3 separate regions of the Mus musculus genome follow, and regions 1 and 2 are each reported to be linked to region 3. Evidence: microRNA targets listed by miRTarBase, many of them from high-throughput screens and not tested one by one. Region 3 holds a microRNA gene; each other region holds the end of a gene's coding sequence.
Evidence for each region. Region 3 holds the annotated microRNA mmu-miR-10b-5p (UACCCUGUAGAACCGAAUUUGUG, at 2,477-2,499, opposite strand). A microRNA usually pairs through its seed, bases 2 to 8, with sites in the 3' UTR of a target mRNA and lowers its output. Matches are read on the target gene's strand: a 7mer-m8 pairs with bases 2 to 8, a 7mer-A1 pairs with bases 2 to 7 and ends in A, and an 8mer does both.

Region 1: miRTarBase lists Pde4c as a target of mmu-miR-10b-5p. Seed matches in the 3' UTR shown: 7mer-m8 at 2,157-2,163.
Region 2: the mRNA of Ogfod1 is a reported target of mmu-miR-10b-5p. Seed matches in the 3' UTR shown: 7mer-m8 at 5,151-5,157.

The regions. Positions count from the first base shown.
Region 1 is chr8:70,748,803-70,755,802 of GRCm38, forward strand. Pde4c (phosphodiesterase 4C, cAMP specific) reads left to right here. Exons shown (of 17, transcript NM_001310465.1): 15 at 109-231; 16 at 421-603; 17 at 1,039-2,384. The coding sequence ends at 1,305. Rab3a (RAB3A, member RAS oncogene family) reads left to right here and starts at 5,901. Exons shown (of 5, transcript NM_009001.7): 1 at 5,901-6,061.
Region 2 is chr8:94,062,969-94,069,968 of GRCm38, reverse strand. It overlaps Ogfod1 (2-oxoglutarate and iron-dependent oxygenase domain containing 1), which reads right to left. Exons shown (of 13, transcript NM_177767.4): 11 at 6,880-7,000; 12 at 6,442-6,500; 13 at 2,047-5,790. The coding sequence ends at 5,629. It overlaps Bbs2 (Bardet-Biedl syndrome 2 (human)), which reads left to right. Exons shown (of 17, transcript NM_026116.3): 16 at 1-7; 17 at 1,587-2,017. The coding sequence ends at 1,693. Among named protein-coding and RNA genes, the nearest start is that of Ogfod1, 29 kb to the right of the region's middle.
Region 3 is chr2:74,721,313-74,728,572 of GRCm38, reverse strand. Mir10b (microRNA 10b) reads right to left here and starts at 2,503; the gene lies at 2,436-2,503. The region is part of intron 1 of Hoxd3 (homeobox D3); the gene reads right to left. It overlaps Hoxd4 (homeobox D4), which reads right to left and starts at 6,595. Exons shown (of 6, transcript NM_010469.2): 1 at 6,396-6,595; 2 at 5,942-6,020; 3 at 5,206-5,241; 4 at 2,595-3,110; 5 at 868-1,697; 6 at 1-311. The coding sequence starts at 1,294.

The DNA.
Region 1 (7,000 bases), not on the chromosome of region 3:
TTCAGTTGACAACTGTGCCGCCCAGTGTTTCCATCCTCCCTCTCACAGGTGGGGATACTGAGGCACAGGTCTCAGAGGCGCAGCATCCTTAATTTACTGTCCTCCCAGGTGCTGGCCACAGATATGTCTAAGCACATGAGCCTTCTGGCCGACCTCAAGACCATGGTGGAGACGAAGAAAGTGACCAGCCTTGGCGTCCTGCTCTTGGACAACTACTCTGACCGCATCCAGGTTTGTGAGGCGGGGCCATAGCCTCAGTTTTCAGCTTTAGCTTCCTGAGAGAGTCTTACTCTGTAGCTCAGACTGCTTCAGTAGTCAACAGTCTCCTGCCTTGGGCGCGCACCACCACACTACACTCAGCTTTGGGATGTGGTGAGGTGGGGCGTGGCTGGGCCTTGTGAGTCCCCCCATACCCAACAGGTTCTCCAGAGCCTGGTGCACTGCGCTGACCTCAGCAACCCCGCCAAGCCGCTACCCCTCTACCGCCAGTGGACGGAGCGCATCATGGCCGAGTTCTTCCAGCAGGGTGACCGGGAGCGAGAGTCGGGTCTGGACATCAGCCCCATGTGCGACAAACACACAGCCTCGATGGAGAAATCCCAGGTGCGGGAAGGGAGCTGTGCCCACTACAGGGCGGAGTCTTTCTTGAGACAGGGTTTTCTGTGCAGCCCTGGCTGTCCTGGGACCTCCTCTGTAGACCAGGCTGGTCTCTGTCTCAGAGATCCGCCTGCCTATGCTTCCCAAGTGCAGGGATCAAAGGTGTGCGCCACCAGCCAGCTAGGGCAGATGTTTTGATTTGTTGTTTTGAAGACATCTCATTTTGTCACCCTGGCTGGCCTAGAACTCACTGGCTTGAGATCACCCTGCCTCAGTCTCCTCCTGTTGTGCCAGGATGGCTTTTTTCAAGAGGATTTTGAAGGATGAATAGGAGTTGGCAAATGAGAATTCCAGGCTGAGAACACCAGGTGGCCAACTGTGAGATGGGACTAATTCTAGGTTTCACTGGGTCTCACTTGCCCCTTCTGTGATCACCCTAAGGTGGGATTCATTGACTACATCGCTCAGCCATTGTGGGAGACATGGGCTGACCTAGTGCACCCCGATGCTCAGGAGCTTCTGGACACCTTGGAAGACAACAGAGAGTGGTATCAGAGTAGGATTCCCTGCAGCCCTCCACACACCATGGGCTCGGACAGGTTCAAGTTTGAGCTGACCCTGGAGGAAGCAGAGGAAGAGGAGGAAGAGGAGGATGAAGGGCAGTGCACAGCACTGAACAGGGAGTCCTCAGAGTTACCCAGCACTTAACTCCTGTCCTCTAAGGCCAGCCCAGAGCCCAGGGTCTGCTTTGTCCAACAAGAGTTGGGCTAGCTTAGTGTGGACCGTGGAGTCCTGGTCAGGCCATGGGCACCTATGGGCACTGATGACGTTCCACCACTCAAAGAGGACAGCCAAGGTTTACACAGAGCCAAGCCTGAGGGAGGCTGGGACCAGCTCTGCCCACAGACTGGAATGGCACCAGCCCTGGGAAGCGCCGACTCCTGCATCTCAGAAGACAGACTTAGACTCAGCTGCAGTCTGCACGTCAGCTTCAGCACATGCAGTCGGACTCTGTGTTATGGTTTAGTTGGTTTCTTTTTTGGCACTAAAGATGGAACCAATGTTGCCTTCACCAGTCCAGCTGCAAGCCTTTACTGAGTCCCTCGGGGGAATCCCTTTCGTAAAATGCGGGCGGGGAACACTTCCCACTGAGGTCTGGTGTCTCCTGACACCATTGGCTGCACAAGACTCTTCTTAGATATCAGGAGGCCGGTGACCCTCCTAGAAGACCACTGCAGGCCTCAGTCCTCCCATCAATGAGGATCCCCGTCTCCGACAAGATTGGGCTTCTCAAACCAGTGTGCTGGTGCACCTCTCTTCACCATAGGCATCCCCCAGACTTGGCTGTGTGTGTGTGGAGACAGCTGGTCCAGGCTGGGCAGCCTGACTAGAAATAAAAAGAGCTGGAAGTGGGCTGGAAAGATGGCTCAGTGGTTAGGAGCACTGACTGTTCTTCCAGAGGTCCTGAGTTCAAATCCCAGCAACCACGTGGTGGCTCACAATCATCTGTAATGGGATCTGTTTTTTGTTTTGTTTTGTTTTGTTTGTTTGTTTTCGATACAGGGTTTCTCTGTGTAGCCCTGGCTGTCCTGGAACTCACTCTGCAGACCAGGCTGGCCTCGAACTCAGAAATCCACCTGCCTCTGCCTCCCAAGTGCTGGGATTAAAGACATGTGCCACCACCACTGTGTGGCCTGAAATGGGATCTGATGCCCTCTTCTTTTGTGTCTGAAGAAAGCAATGGTTACTCACATATAATAAATAAATAAATCTTTAAAAAAAAAAAAGTAGCTGGAGTGTGGCTAAGGGGTGGAGCTTCTGCCTAGAATTGCCCAATGAGGGGCTTGGGGTGTGGCTCTGGTAACAGAGCTTTAGCTTTTGGGAAGTCCTGAGTTCCATTTCTATCACTGCAAAAATAGAATAAATAGAAGAGCACTGCAGGCCTCAGTCTTCCCGTCAATGAGGATCCCTGTCTCTGACAAGATTGGGCTTCTCAAACCAGAGTGCCGGCACACCTCTCTTCACCATAGGCGTTCCCTAGTCAGGGTTCTCTAGAGTCACAGAATTTATGGGTATTCTCTATATAGTAAAGGAATTTATTGATGACTTAGAGTCTGCAGTTCAACTCCCAACAGTGGTCAGCAGCAGCTGTGAATGGAAGTCCAAGGATCTAGCAGTTGCTCAGTCCTACACGGCAAGCAGGTGAAGGAGAGAAAGCCTTCCTTCTTCCAATGTCCTTATGTAGGTCTCCAGCAGAAGGTGTAGCCCAGATTAAAGGTGTGTGCCACCACACCTTTAATCACAGATGACCTTGAACTCAGAGATTTCCCTGTTTTTGTTTTTTTTTTAAAGATTTATTTATTTATTATATGTAAGTACACTGCAGCTGTCTTCAGATGCACCAGAAGAGGGTGTCAGATCTCATTACGGATGGTTGTGAGCCACCATGTGGTTGTTGGGATTTGAACTCAGGACCTTCGGAAGAGCAGCGGTACTCTTAACCACTGAGCCATCTCTCCAGCCCATGAGATCTCCCTGTCTTAATCTTCTGGAAGCCATAGCCACTATGTCTTAAGATCTCCATACCAAGATCCAGATCAGAAACTTCTATCTCCAAGCCTCCAGATTAGGGTCACTGGTGAGCCTTCCAATTCTGGATTGTAGTTCATTCCAGATATAGTCAAGTTGACAACCAGGAATAGCCGCGACACCTACTCATTCTCTTGTGTGGAAACTGAGTCATAACTAGTCCCTCAGAGCTTATATACTAAGAGTGGGCACTGGTGCCCCCTGGCGGTATGACTGATTCCCTGTTTGTTTTCCAAACAGTTCTTTGGCCGTTTTGAGACAAGGTCTCATGGTCTCAAGTTCTAATGTCAGACTTGTTTGCCGCAGAGGATGACACTAACGTTATTTTCTTGCCTCCACCATTCGAGTGCTTGGCTGGGGTAACAGGCATGTGCCATGGGGGGGGGGGGGTCCCTCTCTTTCCCTTTTCCTTTTTCCCTCTGAGCCTGTAACTCTGCACCTGACCAAGGCCTCCAAGGAGCCAGAGTGGCAGGCGACTTCCTCTGTAAATATTATGACTCGGGCTATTCATCCCCAGGAGGCACAAAAGGCCATCTGGGGTCACACACTGGAACATTTCCTTCTTCCTTCCAGATGTCTTAAGAGGCGACCCTTAGAGATTTCTTGTTAAACAAAGTCATGTGTGTTCACTGTGGGAGAATTTGGAAGTCACACAAACCTGATGACGTGAGTTCCATTCCTAGGACTTGTGCTGGAAGGAAAGAACTGACTTCCTAGGTTGTCCTGTGACACTCCCCTCTTTCCAACACAAATAAATGAATATAACTTAGAAAGATTTGAGGAACAGCTTCCCTCTGTCCCTTCTTCTGCCTGTGCTCTTGTTTGCCCAGGCCTTTAACACACTTGCTTCATTCTTCCAGACAGCTGTGCTGTCCTCTCTGGGGAGCCTCAAACTCAGAAATTCCCAAGTGCTGTGTAATTAAAGGTTTCTGTTACCATGCCAGCAGTTTCCCCGCACACGTTTATAGTATGAAACAGGGTCTCACTTTGTGATCCAGGATGATAAAGAACTCAACAACCCTCCTGCCTCAGCTTTCCAAGTGTTCCGATGAAGCCTTGCCACCTACTGAGCTACCAGCACAGTTCTCCTGGAGCCCTTGCTTGGTGGTGGAAGCAAATGGGTTCCTCCCCTAACCTTATCCCTTCGGAATAAATCCAAATCAGGCTCCAGTGTCCCAGGCTCCTCCTGCACCCTTTCTGTCCTCAAACCCGGTCCCGGTCCCCACAGTAGCCTCCGCGTGGGCCCGGAGCTCGCTAAGTAACAAACTGATGGTCACTTTGTGTCTCTGCATGAAGTGCAGGGGAAGCAGGAAATAAGCTTCCTCCAGCGGCCCCGGATTGGGCGGGGCTCCAGGCTCCTCGCGGGGGTGGACGAGCATCCAGGCGACAAGTTATTCTGGTCCATTGGCGCCTCCGCAGCTGGCGGGGAGGTCTATAAACAGGGCCAGGACACGTTCCCAGTTCTGCTTCCTGTGGGAATGGAAGCGATGGGGACCCTGCCCGGCCGCACGGAGAGGAAGAATAGGATAGACCCCAGATTCCCACCTTGACAGGCAGATTTGCAGGAATGAGTCGTGTGTATCATAGCGGCTTGGAAGTCTGCATTTCTGCGCCCACCTTCCTGAGACACAGGGTTACCCGGGTCCCAGTGTCCATATCGTAAAGGGCGTTGGGCAGCTACTCTTGAATCTTCTCTGCTTCCTTGGTCTTTCATTACAATTTTGGAAGACTTATGGGTCAGGATACTTCTGAGCCCTAAGTGCGCAAGGAAGCAAGGGGTTCTCTGGGGACTCATCAGACCCTTTTCTCTTTGCACAGACCGGATTTTCTCCTTTATTTCTTTGAGGCAGGGTTTTATGTGGATCAAGCTGACTTTAAGACACTATGTAACTGAGGATCACCTTGGACTTCTGCTTCTCCCCTCCTTCCCTTCTCCTCCCAGTGCAGAGAACAGGAGCCTGGATCAACCCAGGTCTTTGTGATGCAGGTTCCCCACCAAACTGAGAATTATCCTCAGCCCATCAAAAAACAGTTCTTTCTTTCTTTCTTTTTTTAAAAATTATTTATTTATTTGCTTGTTTATTTTGTTTTTTGAGACAAAGTTTCTCTTCATAGTCCTGCTGTCCTGGAACTCACGTTGTAGACCAGGCTGGCCTCGAACTCACAGAGATCTGCCTCCATCTCCCTTCTGAGTGCTGGGACTAAAAATTCTGTGTGGTCTTTAATGAGTTTTTTGAGCCCTAAAATGTAATCAAGATGTATGCCTGCCAATCCAACACTTGTGAGGTGCAGGCGGGAGGATCAAGAGTTCAAGATCAGCCTCTGCTACTTGGCAAGTTCGAGACCAGCTTGTTACTTGAGACCATTTCTCAAAACAAAACCTAAACTCCTGAGTGCTTCACGTCTCAAAAGCAAGGACTTCTAACCACAAGTTTCCAACCAGAGCTAGGTCCTGGCCTCAGCCTCTCCGCCCTTCAAACACCTAGCAGTCACCATTGGGCCTCTAAAGACGTAGGAATCGCTGATTTGATATTCGGTCCGTCGCTCGAGAGCATCAGCCAATGGAAACTTCATGCCTCCCTAGAGCCCCGTCTTCCAGTGGCTTACCAGGCCCTGCCCCTCTTCTGCCGGCGCAGGCCAGTGTGGTCCCGCGGCTGTCGATGCAGTCCCTCCCCTAACGTCACAGCTTCGTTTGCATAGAAAGCCCCGCCCCTGGCTTTGCAGGACGTCAGCTAGGACTGCAGGGGCCTGAGCCTCCTCCGCTGCCGCCTGCAGCCCCCGCCGCCGCCTGCATCCCCCGCATCCTCTTCTGGGGCCCGGTCGCCAGCGCAGTCGCCACGGTCGCCGTCGCCAGCGTTGTCTCAGCTTAGAGAGGGTAAGGGTGAGCGCAACCCAGGTCCACACACTGAGGAGCCCGCGTTTCACTGACAGCTGGGGGATCAAGGGGAGCGCAACTCGGGTGTAGTGGCTATGGGTCTCGCATTTGGCATTCTTGGTCCCGCATCCCGCACCCCTCGCCCTTAACCTGGCACCTGGGGCCCGGGCTCTGCGACAGAGGGGGAGGGGAAAGCCAGGCCTTGCGGGAGGCTTGTGCGTGCTCGTGCTCGTGGGGTGAACACGCGTGTGCGCGCCCGCTGGGCATGGAGAGGCTCGAGTGACCGCAGGACGCGCAGCGTGCACACTTGTGATACGTTGTGCGTGCATGGTCCGCGTGCGCGGTGCGCGTGGATCTTAGTTCAAGTATGTGCTCACACGCGTGTGGAGCCATGCGCGTGTGTGGTGTGTCCTCCCGGATGGCCAGGTACAGTCGTGCATTGGTGCAGGGAGCTGTGCTCACACATGGGCTTGCACACACCATACATGTCTGCTTGTTTCGCCTGTTAGCACCACTCTTGCATGCAGGGCAGGTGTTTGGGTCTGCCTGCCCTAGATGCTTCATTGTGCTTGTGTGTGTGTGTGTGTGTGTATGCGTGCGCGCTCTTGTGCTCGCGATTTTGTGTGTGTGAGCCTACGTTCATCCTGTCTTCGTCACGTGATGTGGCTATCTCAGGGCCCCAGTTCTTGCAGGAGAAAAATAAGGATGAGCGAGAACTGGGGATCCTCCTGTATTCATGTTCCGGTGTGGGTCTCTGTGAGAGACTGATGGGAAGGCAGAGGAGGCTCAGTCTTCCCTCAGGGTACAGGGGAATCTGAGGTTCACAGCCTGCTTAAAACCTTGGTGCTGTCAAGGTCACAGCTCTGCCTTATGTTGGTTGGGGGGGTTGAGCATGTGACATTGGGGGGTATCCTCACCTACCCCTGTGCCGTGCCCACC
Region 2 (7,000 bases), not on the chromosome of region 3:
CTGCGCGGTAAGTCTTTCCCTGGTACCTGATTTGCCTATGGTATTTTGAAAACATGAGGGTCACAGAAGATTGTGGATACATTATAAAACTCACACTGAAGCCCAAAGCAGCCTTCCTTCAACACTCCAGAGCTGGCCCTGGCTTCTACTACTCAACCCAGGACTTTAGTTTTCTCTAGACAGATTTTTGGTTTTATTGTTCTGTTTTTTAAAGAAATAAAGCCTTGCAGGGCATGGTGGCATACACCTTTAATCCCAGCACTTAAGAGGTAGAAGAAGCAGGCAGATCTCTTGTTAGTATAGGCCAGCCTGACCTACAGAATGAGTCCCAGGACAGCCAAGGCTACATGAAGAAACCCTGTCTCAATAAATAAATAAATAGCCGGGCGTGGTGGCTCACGCCTTTAATCCCAGCACTTGGGAGGCAGAGGCAGGCGGATTTCTGAGTTCGAGGCCAGCCTGGTCTACAGAGTGAGTTCCAGGACAGCCAGGGCTACACAGAGAAACCCTGTCTCGAAAAACCAAAATCCAAAAAAAAGAAAAAAAGGAATAAAACCCTAAATTCCTTTTCTAAGATCTTGCTGTAGCTGCTAAAGCAGCAATTATCACCCTGTGGGGTGTGACCTCTCTGGAGGTCACATATCAGAAAATTACAATTTATAACAGTAGCAAAAGTGGTTATGAGTAGCAAAGAAATAATTTTATGGTTGGGGGTAACCACAACATGAAGAATTAACTATATCACAGGGTTGCAGCATTAGGAAGGTTGAGAACCACTGTCCTAAAGGAAAACTTAGTTTTATAATCCAAAGGAAGAAAATAACTTTGTAAGTTAGGGACGGAAAAAAACAAAACAAAACAAAAAAAAACCAACAACTGAAAATAACTTGGGCAAGCATCCATCTTGGAAGCGTAGAGAGTTGTGGGATAGGCCACAGGAAATGGAAATGCGGCCGGAGAGCTGCTGATTCCGCTGCTTCGATCAAGCTGCCTTTGTTAGGAGTGCAAGCTGAGTCATCTCTACAAACCTACTTTGATTCTGGCTTGGGATGACCTCTAAGTTTTTTTGTAATAAATTCTGTCTTTCCTAGAAGGTAGCAAGTTTTTTTTGTTTTTTTTGTTTTTTTGTTGTTTTTGTTTTTTTTTCGAGACAGAGTTTCTCTGTATAACCCTGGCTGTCCTGGAACTCACTTTGTAGACCAGGCTGGCCTCGAACTCAGAGATCCACCTGCCTCTACCTCCCGAGTGCTGGGATTAAAGACGTGAGCTACCACACCCTGCAGGAGGTAGCAAGTTAGCTATGTATATGTATATGTAATTCTTTTCTACCCTGGTTTTATGCTGTCTTCAAACTGTCCTTACCCCCCACCTCTTTTCTTTCAGACAGGGTTTCTCTGTTTAGCCCTGGCTATCCTGGAACTCACTCTGTAGACCAGGCTGGCCTTGAACTCAAAGATCTGCCTGCCTCTGCCTCCAGAATGCTGGGATTAAAGGCGTGCGCCACCAACCTGGCTTGGCTTTGAATCTCTAATTTCCCTTTTAATCATATTTTGGGAAGCACCGACTCAATGTTTTTTCTCACACAGTTGGAAAGCCAAAGAACCAGGTGATCAGTGCTTGTCGGGATGCGATTCGAAGCAACAACATCAACACCCTCTTCAGAATCATGCGAGTGGGCACTGCTCCTTCATAGGAGACAGGGAAAGAGGAAGGAAGCCCCTGCAAAAGGTCTAGACACGGAGCCTGGCTGGCTCCCGATCACAGCCTGGGCATCCAGCTGCTAAGGATGAAACCATGCTAACTGATACAGCTAAGGACAAAGCACTCCGGCTGAAAGCCTCCTTCATTGATATCAGTGGTGTTGCTGATTTGTATCTTAAAATATATCACCATTTCAGAATTTAACTTGTTTTTGTACATAAAGTTAGTGTATGAATTTATTCCCCCCGAAATTGTTACTGAAATTTAAAATGGAGTACCTACTTTTTCATTAAAAATAAAAGGCACTGGTCTTCCTTGTTGTTGTTTATAAATTACCACCATAGCAGAAATGCACAAACACTTTTATTTTGTGGGGAAAACAAAAAATACAGACATCCATTTTTTTTTATCACTCAAATGTATGTGTAAACATTTATATTAAGGGAAAACAAATCTAAAGGCAGTCTATCAGTTGGGGTAGCATTAGCTGGAATACAGATCTCCAAACGCATCTCTGGCTGCTCCTTTTTATTCTTAAGGAGCCACTGAAAACTGTTTTCATTCTTGTCTGCAGCGGCGGCCTTAGTGGCTCCCTCTGAGCCCAGCCTGACAAAGTGCCTTACAACCTTGTATTTACCCAACAGGAGAGAGGGAAGAGAGGGCAGAGAGGAGCCATGCTTCCTAATACAGGGCAGGGTGGCCATGCTGACACGCTTACGGCAGCACACAGTTGTCAAAGGGTGGTGGCAAGGGGTTTCAGCTGACCTATGTGTTTTTCCACACTTTTAAATTCCCAACAATGAACATGCATTGTTTATGTATTGTTATCTTTGGAGGGAATATCACCTTTAGGAAAAGGAGTTATGAGAACTGGAAGTTCACAGCTGGACACCGTGGTACTCTAGAATCTTAGCAATTAGAGAGCTAGGGTATACATAGACCCTTCTCGAAAACACCAATCAATAAGAAAACAAGAAAGAATTAGAGGCTCATTATTAAGAGAGACATGCCATTGGTCACACAGAAAGCAGCATAGCTTTTACCAACAAGAGGTATTGAGAGCCCACATTTGACTCTCTTGCCCCATGCCCAAAGCAGCAAGCAATCAGGATCAAGAATGAAGCAATTGCAAACTGAGGCAAGATCACTTGTGCAAACGTGACAGTATTCTTGGACAGACTAAGTGGAAGCTTTTCTGCCTTCCAACATGGACGACACGTTAAAAATACTCCATCTTCAATAGCCTTAGCTTATGCAATAGAACTTTATTTTAAACTTTGACTTATAACTTTATATTGTATAGCTGTACAAAAATATTTTGAGTTATTTTCATTTTTAACCTTTCTGAATTTTCTGTTAATACTAACACACACACACACACACACAGGCCCATACACTTATTGATTGTCTTCATTCTCACTGCTTTCCACCTGTGTTGTCTGCACATGGGAGTTAGCGCTTTAACAGCACACACTCTGAGCAGGTCATGTGAGTGAACACATAAGGTGGTGGCCTGTGAGTGACAGTTGTGTGCACAGCTGCCTGTTCTCCCTAGCCTCTCGGTGACTTTGAGTGATTTGGAATTCAGGCATCTTTCAGCTCCACTGTAGACGTACGGGCTCACTGTCATACACCATCTGTCTCACCCATACATCAACAATGCGGCACATGGCAACTGAAAAACGCAGCTGCTCACTAGAGCAGAAAGGCAACCTGTAGGTTCTATTGTTCTTGCAGACCAGGAGGCTCTGCAAAGACAGAGGGACCCTTCAGAGTTCTTCCCACTCAGGCACTTCAATGGGGGGTGGGGAGTGAGGGTGGGATGGGTGGGGGAGTGGGCCTGCCTTTAGTCTGCAGCAGTTCAGAAAAGGCAAGCTTCAAAAGTAACCGTTAGCAACAAAGTATGCGTAGTCCAACTTGAGCACTACTCTGGATTAAAGTGCGGTGGAGTCTACAACAGTATGCGTGGGCAACAGCCTGTCATTGGTCACTGCCTGGCGTGGGAAGACAACTCTCAAACTAGGTCTGGAGAGTCTTTTGTTTTTAATTTTTGAATCAGGGTTTCACTATATAGCTCTGACTGTCCTGAAACTCTCTTTGTAGACCAGGCTGGCCTTGAATTCACACATCTGCCTGCCTCTGCCTCCTGAGTGCTAGAATAAAGATGCGTGCTTCCCACTCCTGGCTCCATCTTTGTTTTTGAGGCAAGGTGTACTGCTGCCCAGGCTGGCCTTAAACTCGCTGTGTGGCTGAGGATAGTCTTGAACTCTTAATCCTCTTGCCTCTACCTTCCAAAAGCTGGGATTAAAGTATGTCCCCTCAGTTTAGGTCTGGATATTCTCATGTCATTATTTAAAAATTACTTTGTTTTATGATTAATACCAAAACATATAAAACTTGTAAGTATCTACTAGGATATGAATGTTAAAGTGTGTTTTACTGACTGGGTAAACAAAACAAATTGAAAGCCAATGTAAAAGACAGAATGCATTTGGATGGACTTTTAGGACGTCAGAGAAGTGTGAATAAGATACTTAAAGGTCCAGCGTTTTTCCTACCGATAAGTAAAGTCCACACTGAAACCTGCAAGGATAGTCAGGAACCAAGAAAGCAGCAAATAGATGTGGTGTGGGGTGGTGTGAGGACATCTCTCAGCCATCATGCACACCCCCACAATGGGAAGAGCTGTGCCACAGCCCCATGGAGCAGTTCAGGGGAAAGACCAGAGACAAAAGGAGGGCTTCTCCTCCTGAACTTCTCCTCCTGACACTGCCTTTTAGCACGGGGGTCTTTCAAAAGGAAGGGAAAGGCAGCAAGTTCCACACCCGGCCTTCCAGCATTTAGGAACGCATAGTCACTGGGAGGCTAGACTCAGAGAAGCCACGATGCCAGGTCTGGAAGGCAGTAGACGAGAGGAAATACATAGGGCAGTAAGCAGCTATGGAATTCCTGGAGCTATGTTAGGTTTCAGGCAGACCTCTTCCAAAAGAGCAACACTACCTCCCCGAGGGTACCCTATCCTCAGAGTCAGGGTGGAGCTCAGCCCACAGTGGGAGCACCGTGTGTCACAGCTCTCGGGCTCAGCAAGTTTCTACAACTACTTAGGAGTGAAGAAGAAAAACACTGATAGGCCTTGAGGACGCTGTGCTAAGTGAAACAAGCCAATCAGGAAGCGAGACCCACTGCACGATTCACTCATGAGGCGAACAGTCATCAAAGAAGGGCAGTAGCACTCCCCTATGGGAAGACAGAAAACCATTTCCACTTCCTATGAGGTCTGGGTGTTTTCCAGATGGCAGTGACGGGTGCTTTGGAGCACTTCAGTATGCTCAATTCCACGGACTGCACATGCAGGAACTGGTGCAGTGGCTCATGCCTGCAATTCCAGCACTTAGGAGGTTGAGGTGGCAGAATCAGTACTTCAGAGCTAGCCTGGGCTACATAGTACAACCCTGTCAAAAGAAACCAAACCAAACCAAACCAAACTCTAAGCCAAAAAAAAGTGACCCTGCTAAATTTTGTATATACACCATAAATTAAAAAAAAAATCACCAAAGTTAGAAAGTCGCCAAGGCAGTTACTACAGAACGAAGAGAATTGCAATGGGGGAAAACATTTTTTTCTGCAACCCAGGGACGAGTACATAGCTCTAGCATGAGGTCTAGATGAATTTTCTGAAAGGATGACCAAGAGTTGTTTTGCTTGGGGACAGGGTCTCACCGTGTAAGCCACACTGACCTTGGGAACTGAAGGTCCCCTTTCTCTGCCTCCCGAGGCTGGCATCACAGGTGTGCACCCACACAGCCTGCAAGGACAGCCTGCTCGGAGGACGCTGTTACCCAGCATGCCCCACTCTCCCTCACTCCACGAAGACCCCATGTTCCTGGCACTGGTGGAGTGAATGCTAGCTGGCTCTGCCCCATCTTGTTACTCATAGTAGATGAATGCGAAGTCCCAGAAGCCGCTTCTGCTTGGGAAGGCTTTGCTCTGCTCTAGGCTGCGGTGGTTGATGTGTTTCACAAACCTCAGCGTTTCTCTGTCTCTGTAGACCAACGCCAAAGAGTTGTTTTCTGGATTCACTATGAGCAGCTGTAACGGGAAACACGAGAGATGTCAGAACCCAGAGCTCGTTTTCCGCTCCGCTCGGGGGAGTCATCACAGAGCAGGTGGTTTCCATAGTGACTCTTTAGGCTGGGGAGGAGGTCCCAAAGAGTTTTTTATTAGGAGAGGTGTGTTTCTGTCTAGACATTTCCCAACAAGCTCTGCCTCACTAGCACAAACCCGGAAACGGTTTGGCCTAATGTGTTTGCTTCCAACTCCCTAGAAAGAGTGGTGGGTGTGAGCCTCTTAACTCAGGCTCTCAGTAAGGCACAACAGTGTGTGCTGAATTTCCTTTCGCTTTACTGAGTTACTGCAAGCTCCCATATATTCTTGTGAAATCAGAGCCACCTCGAGGCAGGCCAGCATGGATTTATCAGCTAAGAACACTGGCTGAGGTCATAAAATGTGTATTTCTTGCCGTCGTGGTGGCTCACACCTGTAACATCAGCTTTTGCTTGATGGAGGCAGGAGTGTTGTGCCAAGGGTGAGGCCAGCCTGGGCCGTAGAGTGAGGTCCTGCCTCAAACAAACAAACAAAGCAAAGAAACAAAACCAACAGGTAAATAAATTGGTGTCTGAAGAACAGAACTTTCTCAAGAGTTAGAAAGGAGAACTTGACAGAAGGAAGCCACTTACTTACCTCTTCATCTTCACCTTTAGCAATGTAGGAGGTAAAGCCGCCATATTCGGGCTCCCAGCCTGACGAGGGAAAGACAAAGGGCACTGAGCTCCCACTGCCAGAGTGAGTGACTGCTGAACTGGGGCTCTGGAACTTCTGTATTGGCCTTTAGCATCTGCTATCATGGATTCTCTCTCTATTAAATGGCTAATTTCCCAGACAGCTGAACTGAAACCCAGGCTTACTAATGAATATTGAAAGAGGAAATTAAAGGAATTAACCTTTCCATACCCAGATATAAATTCTGTTTGGGGAAACTAAAATTCACCATCCCCAACACCCTTTAGAATTCTGGGATTGTGGCCACAGGCCAGCACTTCTGAGTTGGCTGAGCTGGAGAGTCGCTTCGGAGAGCCTGCCTGGACTAAGGAGTTGATCCATGGCCCTGCTCCTCCCTACCTTCACAGCCACAGTACAGAAACAGGTCCAGGGCAAATTCAGTCTTGGTGTTGTCGTGGACTAATGTGTAATGGCCAGTCTTCCAACGCCTCAGCTCCCCCTGGCACATGGGAACGCTCGA
Region 3 (7,260 bases):
GTCCGTATGGTGGTCCTTGGCCATTGGCTGCAAATGCTGGCCCGGGGCAGCTGAAGAGGAGCAGGAAGATGAGGAAGAAGACCTGCCCTTGGTGTTGGGCAGTTTGTGGTCTTTTTTCCACTTCATCCTCCGGTTCTGGAACCAGATCTTGATCTGGCGCTCAGACAGACACAGGGTGTGAGCGATTTCAATCCGACGGCGCCTGGTCAGATACCTGTTAAAATGAAATTCCTTTTCCAGTTCTAGGACTTGCTGTCTGGTGTAGGCCGTCCGGGAGCGCTTGGGCTCCCCGCCGGTGTAGTTGGGGTTCACTATGAGACAAAACATACAAGACAGCCAGGTCAGAGCCCGGCCACTAGTTAGGCCCCAGGCTTGCCTCTGCCCTCACTTCCTGGCGCGTCTCGCAGCCCTCGGGCCCCCCCTGTGCTCCAAGCTGGCCAGCTTCCTCCCTCCCGCCCTCTCCCTAAACATACACACACTCCCACCCAAGCCCTTCCATGCACACACTCCCCACGCTCACAGGTCCTCCTCAAAGGTTCTCCCTTGCCACTGGCCCACCAAGAGCTCGGTATCGCCAACATTTTGGAAAGGTCCTTGTTTTGCTCTGCGTTCCCTCTGCTGTGGAAATGGAGTCCTCCCCCCACCCCATCCCCATCCCCACCCCCTTTTGCGCCCACAGCCAAGCAGCCAGCCACATGGTCCCGGCCTGCTCCCTCAGCTATAAAAATTTATGGAGAGAGTAATTGCGGCGCCCAAGGAAGCTGCACAAGCCCCTACCCATTCGCAACCCCTGGGGTGGGGGGTGCAGGCCAAAAGATGCAAGGAGTGGTGCGGGAGGGCTGTGAGGTCGCTGCCCCCACTCCTTACCCGAATTCACGTGCACCTTCTTCATCCAAGGGTAGACCACAGCGGGCTGCTTGAGTGCTGTCCCGGGGGGCGGCTGCTTGGGGCCGGTGGGCTGGCTGCAGGCCCGAGCGCCAGGCAGGGGCGCAGGCGGGGGCGCTGGGCACCGCTCTCCCGGGGCACCGTAATGACTTCCCGGGCCGCTCGGCTCCTGTCCGTGACCCCTCGCGGGCAGCGCTGAGCCAGGCCCGGGCCCGCCGCCTCCGAAGGGTTGCTCGCCGAAGTCGGGCCGTGGGTAGAGCCCCGAGGGCTGGAAGTCGGCGCCCTGTGCACCGCTGCCGTAGTAGTCGGCTCCCTGCTCGCCTAGGTAGCCACCCTGCAAATATTCCTCGCACGGAGGAAACTTGGGGTCCACGTACTTAGAGTTCACCATATACGAACTCATGGCCATTAATTTCAGAAGGTAGAAAATACTAATTTTTCTCGTGTTGTCTTTTTTCTCCTTCCATTGGGCCCTCCTACTTGCTGTCAACTGAATAAAGTTGGGCGGCCATGTGACCAGGCCAGCCAATAGGAAGAAAGCATGTTTATCACCGGGTTGGTGAGCATCTCATAATTTTCACAAATTTAACTAAATAACATACGTGTAATCAAGTGACTTGCCATGCCACATTTGAGAGTCCCTGACAGATGCTAATAGAGTTCTAATTCTATCCCCGGGGTCCCAATTTCCGGCAGGTAATCTCGGCTTTTGTCTTCCACTGACTTTGCTAACCTCCCATGCCCTCCTTACTCACCATCGCCTGAAGCAGCCCCCAGAATGGACATAGTTCAAAGAAGAGTGAATTCTCCTACTGGGGTGCAAAATAAGGAAGAATGAGTGTGGGCAATGTGGCCTCCGAGTTGGGTAGAGTCCTAGGCAGGCAGGCAGGCTGCCCGGCCAGCTGGCAGGAGTCCTGGACTCTGACATACAAAGACCTGTCTTGGCTTTGTCTTCATCAGGGTCACCCAAAAGTTACCAGAATCTGGCGGACCTGAATTGAGTTAGGCAATGAGTAACCACTATGCTTTTCTGCCAATGCGCAGGCTGGGGTGTTTCTAGTTGAAGTTGGATCTTTCTGCAGGAGGCCCTCACAGTTCTGAGTCTGGTGGCTGAGGGGTTGGGTCATATTGGGATGGTGGGGAGGGGGACCTTAACCTTGCCTAAATGTACCCCAACGGTCTCCGATGGCCTATCTTTCAGTTTGTCTTCTTCCCACACAAGGGCAGGTGAGCCCCATTTGGGTACCTTTGTGTCTCATGCTCCTTCAGAGCAGGGCTTCTGCTGGAGCTTTCTGGCCTTTCACCTCACTCTCTAATACCCTAAAACCTGGCTCTCTGGCTTTACACTCAGACAACCACTTGAGCACCTACTGGAATATCTATAGGAGTTTCTCCAGGAAAAGGCTGTACAATTTCACCAGGCAAAGTCGATCATCCTGGAGTCTAAGGTAATGAAAAAGAAAGAGGTGGCTTGCCGGCTGGGCTGCCAGTACTCTCCGCGCCTCAGTCTCTGGCCATGTCGGAGATATATGAAGTTTTTGCATCGACCATATATTCCCCTAGAATCGAATCTGTGACTATGTGGGTACCACACAAATTCGGTTCTACAGGGTATATATAGACAACGTTACAACCTCGGGTCCTACCCAGAGCAGACATTCAGGCAGCTGCCAGACCTGATCTCTTCAGCACAGCCACCAGGAACTCACCAAGCCTGGCTTTCAGAGATGGTGCAGGTAGGCTCGGTGCATTTCTAAGTATTGCTGCTCGCTACAGCAATGAGTTCCCTCATCGGCTTGCCAGGATGGGGGCCACCAAGTAGCTGAGCAGCCAGGACCTTCTTCTTCTTAAAAAAAAAAAAAAGAAAAGAAAAGAAGGGGAGTTTTTTTTTCACCCCAGAGATGGCGGCTTAATTGCCCCTTCTCAGAACCCAAATCTCCCGCCCCCTTATCAAGTGGTATTTCCCAAAAAGAAGCAAAGGCCCTCAGCAGCAGAAAGGGAGTTTTGAAAAAGGCAAAAGGAATAGTCTTCACCAGAACCTAAGCCAAGTGAGTGGTCACAGCTAGTCCTCCTAGAATTCGAGCATTTACCTTTCTGGGCCCTCAGCCCCGCCGGACTTTCGGATCCCGCTGCTGCTGCTTCTGCTGCTGCTATGACTGCTGCTGCAGACCCGGAGGCAGGCGCTGTTTGCGGCCACCGAGCCTCCCTGGGCTGAGACTGTCGAGCTAATGGTGAAGGGCAGGGCGAGGGGTCATTCGAAATCATTTACAAACATATCACAAAGTTTCATTATTTTTGCTTTGCCGACAGCAGCACAGAAGAGTACAAAAGTTCGCGAATTTCGCCGCCCCAGCGCCTCCGCTGTCCTGGGCTTGCCCCTCAATTCAGGGCATCAAGAGCCCAGATGCACTCTGGGGCTGGGCTGATTTCAGGGGCAGAGGGATGCCCTGGCCTGGGCCGAGCTTATGGATGCCTGATAACAGATTGAAGATGTCCACATTTCTAAGTATTGTTTTGATCCCTTCCTATATAATTCGAAAAATCACTTTCAAGCCCCATGCCTTGATTTTGATGGGGTGGGGCAGGGAGACTCCCCTCATCATATCTGGCAAAATTAGGTGCTCACTTTGACCCTGTACTTTGCCCTTCCATGCCCTCCCACCATCTTTCACTTCCACTATTTTGCAGGGATTTCCCAGGTGTCAGTTCTAAAAAAAAAAAAGGGGGTTAAAATCCGTTTGTTTAAAGACTCTCCCCAGTTTCTCCTAATGCCAGCCCTTTCACCCATGGACACGTTGACAGGCCTTTCTGGGGACACTGGGCCTACCTCTGTTTTACCCAGACAAATTGGGGAAGTCCGATGGGTTGAGTGAGGACCAAGATGAGTACACACATTTTCATATTTGTTAGACATTGTGACCTGCATTTCACCTTATTGCTCGACTTGTTCAGACAGGTCAAAGCCAACAAGTTATTGATGAACAAAAGCGTTAAATATTCACCTCCCTCTCAACTGCCCATACAAATGCTTTTGATCTCTCCGGCTTTTTGTGCTGTGGGCAGCTACAAGGCGCCAGCAAGCAAGCAGCCTCAGCAGAGATGAGCCCTCACAGCCAAGGGTGCCAAGGAAGAGGGCAGGGGCAAGGCCAGAGAAAGTCTGGGGAGTCCAGATTTTTCACCATGGAGCCTGGTTCACTGTGTGCAGGCCTGGTTCATAGAAGGAACTACAAGCTGTAAAGGTCTTCACTTCCCTGTTAGCTCAGCCTCACCAGGGGCCCAGCAAAGAAACCTGGCCCTGAGCCCAGTCTCAGCTTCTCTGACCAGGAAGGGAAGACATCTCACAAGAGAGGGAGGATGCCTGGTCCCTGTGGTCCTTACCAATCTGCTACTGTTCCATTAAAATTAAACTACCTGTGGTTTGCAGTGAGTGGCAAGCCTCTACTATTTCCTTGACTCTCCTTCTAGTGCCAACCCTTCTAATGACACCCAGAAGATGTCACCAGCATTCTCAGCTTCAAACTTCAGAGCCAAAGAACTGGAGTCCCTGCCTCTGATCCCACCCAATTCCACTGGACTCTGGAGTAGAGTAGAAATTCTTCAACTGCAGCTAAGGAGAAACGGAGGGAAAGAGAAAGTACTCTTTTTGTTCACCGGGTATCCCAAACTGGGACCCACACCAGTGAAGCTAGGACCCAGAAAGGGACAGGAGAGGAATGTCTACATAAGCTCAGAAGTTGTAGCCCTTCCTGGAAACAGGCCAATCCAACACACCCAAGACCATCAAGGGTTATATGTTTGTTTTTGTCTGTAATAAATCAAATTTTAAATTAAAACCTATATACAGCAAGAGAAGGCTGAGATAGACTGGGCAGAGAGAATAATGGCTGGACAGCAGAGAGGGACCCCCGTTGCCTTGGTGTTGATTGGGTCAATTCTAGCAGTTGTGGATGCTGGCCCGCCCGTAGTTCAGTTCGTTGATAGGGTGGGCTGCTAATTAGCTGCAAGTCTGCTGCACCTGTGCGAGCCAGAGAAGCCTGGCAAAGGCCTGTATGGTCCAGAGAGGTCCGGGAAGACAAGGGCGGTCCCCTGCGGTGCGTTTACTTGAGCAGGTGACTGTGAACTAGGTCCCAGAAATACTTCCTAAAGGGTCAGCCTAGAGCTTCCATCCCTCCACGAAGCGAGTCCGTTTTGGCCTGGGGAGGCAGCGCCACTCCGCTACTCCTTAACCCTCCCATCACCGCTGGCGCGGACCTTCCGCCCACCTCCTCCCAGTCTTAGCACTACCCTTTCGTTCCTCGGAAGAAAAGGGAAGGTACTTACAGTGGTTCTCCCTCGTTCTCCCTGACGCTCCAAAACCTGTTGCAATGAAAGTGGGGTCTCTCAAATTTCACAGGACAATAAAGCATCCATAGGCGACATGCAGAACGTGACAAGGCCCAGACATTCCACCAATACCTAGAACTCCTTGCTTCTGGTGACCGCCTTCGGGTACTGCACAAAGTTTTCCTCTGATAGCATCCTCAAAGGCAGAGCTAAGGGCTATGGGAGTCTGTCCTGGTCACCTACCCTACTTCACGCACCCTTGGGCAAAACCCAACCAGTTATACGGCCTGACTCAGACTGCCTGAGGCAGGGTTTCCCCAGGGGGGAAATGGGAAGTCAGAAAATAGGCCTTTGTGCATTTCCTTCTGGTGTGGGAGGGTGGGTGCGAGCCCACTGGTGAGAGCCTGCAGACATTCTATTTGTCCCGACCCCAATTCTGCTCCCTCTGGAAACAGTTCAGACCTCCTTTTCCAGTTTCAGGTTGGTTTTTAATTCCACCCCAGCGTCCAAACCTGCATTCTCCTCAAAGAGGAGGCATGGCAGGCAGGGACATATTTTTTTTTTTCCATGTCTCCAATTCAAAACAGTCATTTCCTTCCGAGGGGAAATGAGAACCCAAAAGATAACCAGAAAGGGAAATTGATGTGTTTAAAGGAAAATGATCTAGATCTTACAGACATGGTCTAAAATATGATCTCATTCTATCTGTTTGACATTAATTTTTTAAACATACCTGCAGGAGAACCTACAGACCGATCAAAGAGAACAGTGGTTCCCAGGGCACTCATGTCCATCTTCAAGTTTTTAGTCTTCTAGGAACAGAAAGAAAAAGAAAAGGGGGGGCAAACCCCGCTCTGAACTACCTCAGAGGTAACTCATCTCCACACCGGTCCCCTCTCCTCCCCACCCCCCATCATTGCTTTCTTCCACTTTTAAAGTTGTTGCTCCACTACTGAGAGGCAAGTGTAAGTCCTGCTTTTGGGGTAGAAGGCCCTCACTTCCCAACGTTCCAGGTATACACAGGAGAGGGAAATGCCAAGACCCCCCATTCAATTTATTAAGTTAGGCTTAGGCTAAAATTAAAATGAACTTCAATAGATAGGCTTTCCCCAAGCAGAGAAGGCTGGGCTCAGACCCCCTGCCCCACAACTCTAGAGTTATTGTGGACAAAGTAATGAGTGACTTACTGGGTTTCTTTTCGTTGGTAGAGAAGCTTAGAGGAGAGCTGTCTCCTGAGCCCGGGGCGCTGGCTGGAGCCTCTCACTTGCCTATCGCTGCTACAGGAACCAAGCATCTGCACTTGTATGCTCTTAACCTAATTTATGGTGGGAATTATATTTTGGCTTGTCAACTCTCAAGCCATAAAACAAAGTTTATTGGAATCACGTGCTTATAAATAGCCACTCAGGTCCCGGCTCTGCAGAACCATAAATAACCTTTGGCTTTAAACTTTTATTCACTAAATAAAGGTTCACTGCAACTGTTCCCTTGGATTTAAATAGTTCCAAATATCCAGAATGCGAGAGAGGTCATATTCATATCAATACCCCGGGCTTTTCAACTTGCATCTTTTCAGAGAAAGCTGTTTAAATTGGGGGATAGTGCTATTTGGACAAGGCTGGTTGGTAGGCTTGTCCTATGACTCTTGGGCTGCATCCACTGTGAGTACCATCACCGCCTTTATTTCAATCATTTTCTAGCATTCGATGTGGTAAGCAGGAAAGACAAAGGCTACTTCTTACTTGCTTATCGCAAAAGTTGGAAATTATTTTTGAGATTTTTTGCTTGATTCAATAGGGAAGAGTGGCCAGGGGAGAGGCTGGGTGGCCTTGGGGGTGGGGAGGCAGCTGGGATTAACACTTAGTGTCCTCTGTATTGTTGTGGATGGGGCTTGGTGAAAGTTGAAGATTGCCACATGCCTAGGGGTTTTTATAATTTGCTCAGATCTGAAAGAGAAGCCTTTGCAAGTGACCAAACTGCTTAAAACAGCAAGACTTGAGGTTTGGTGAAGTGAGAAAGTGGAGAACAGGCCCCACCGGACTCTGGCGAGTA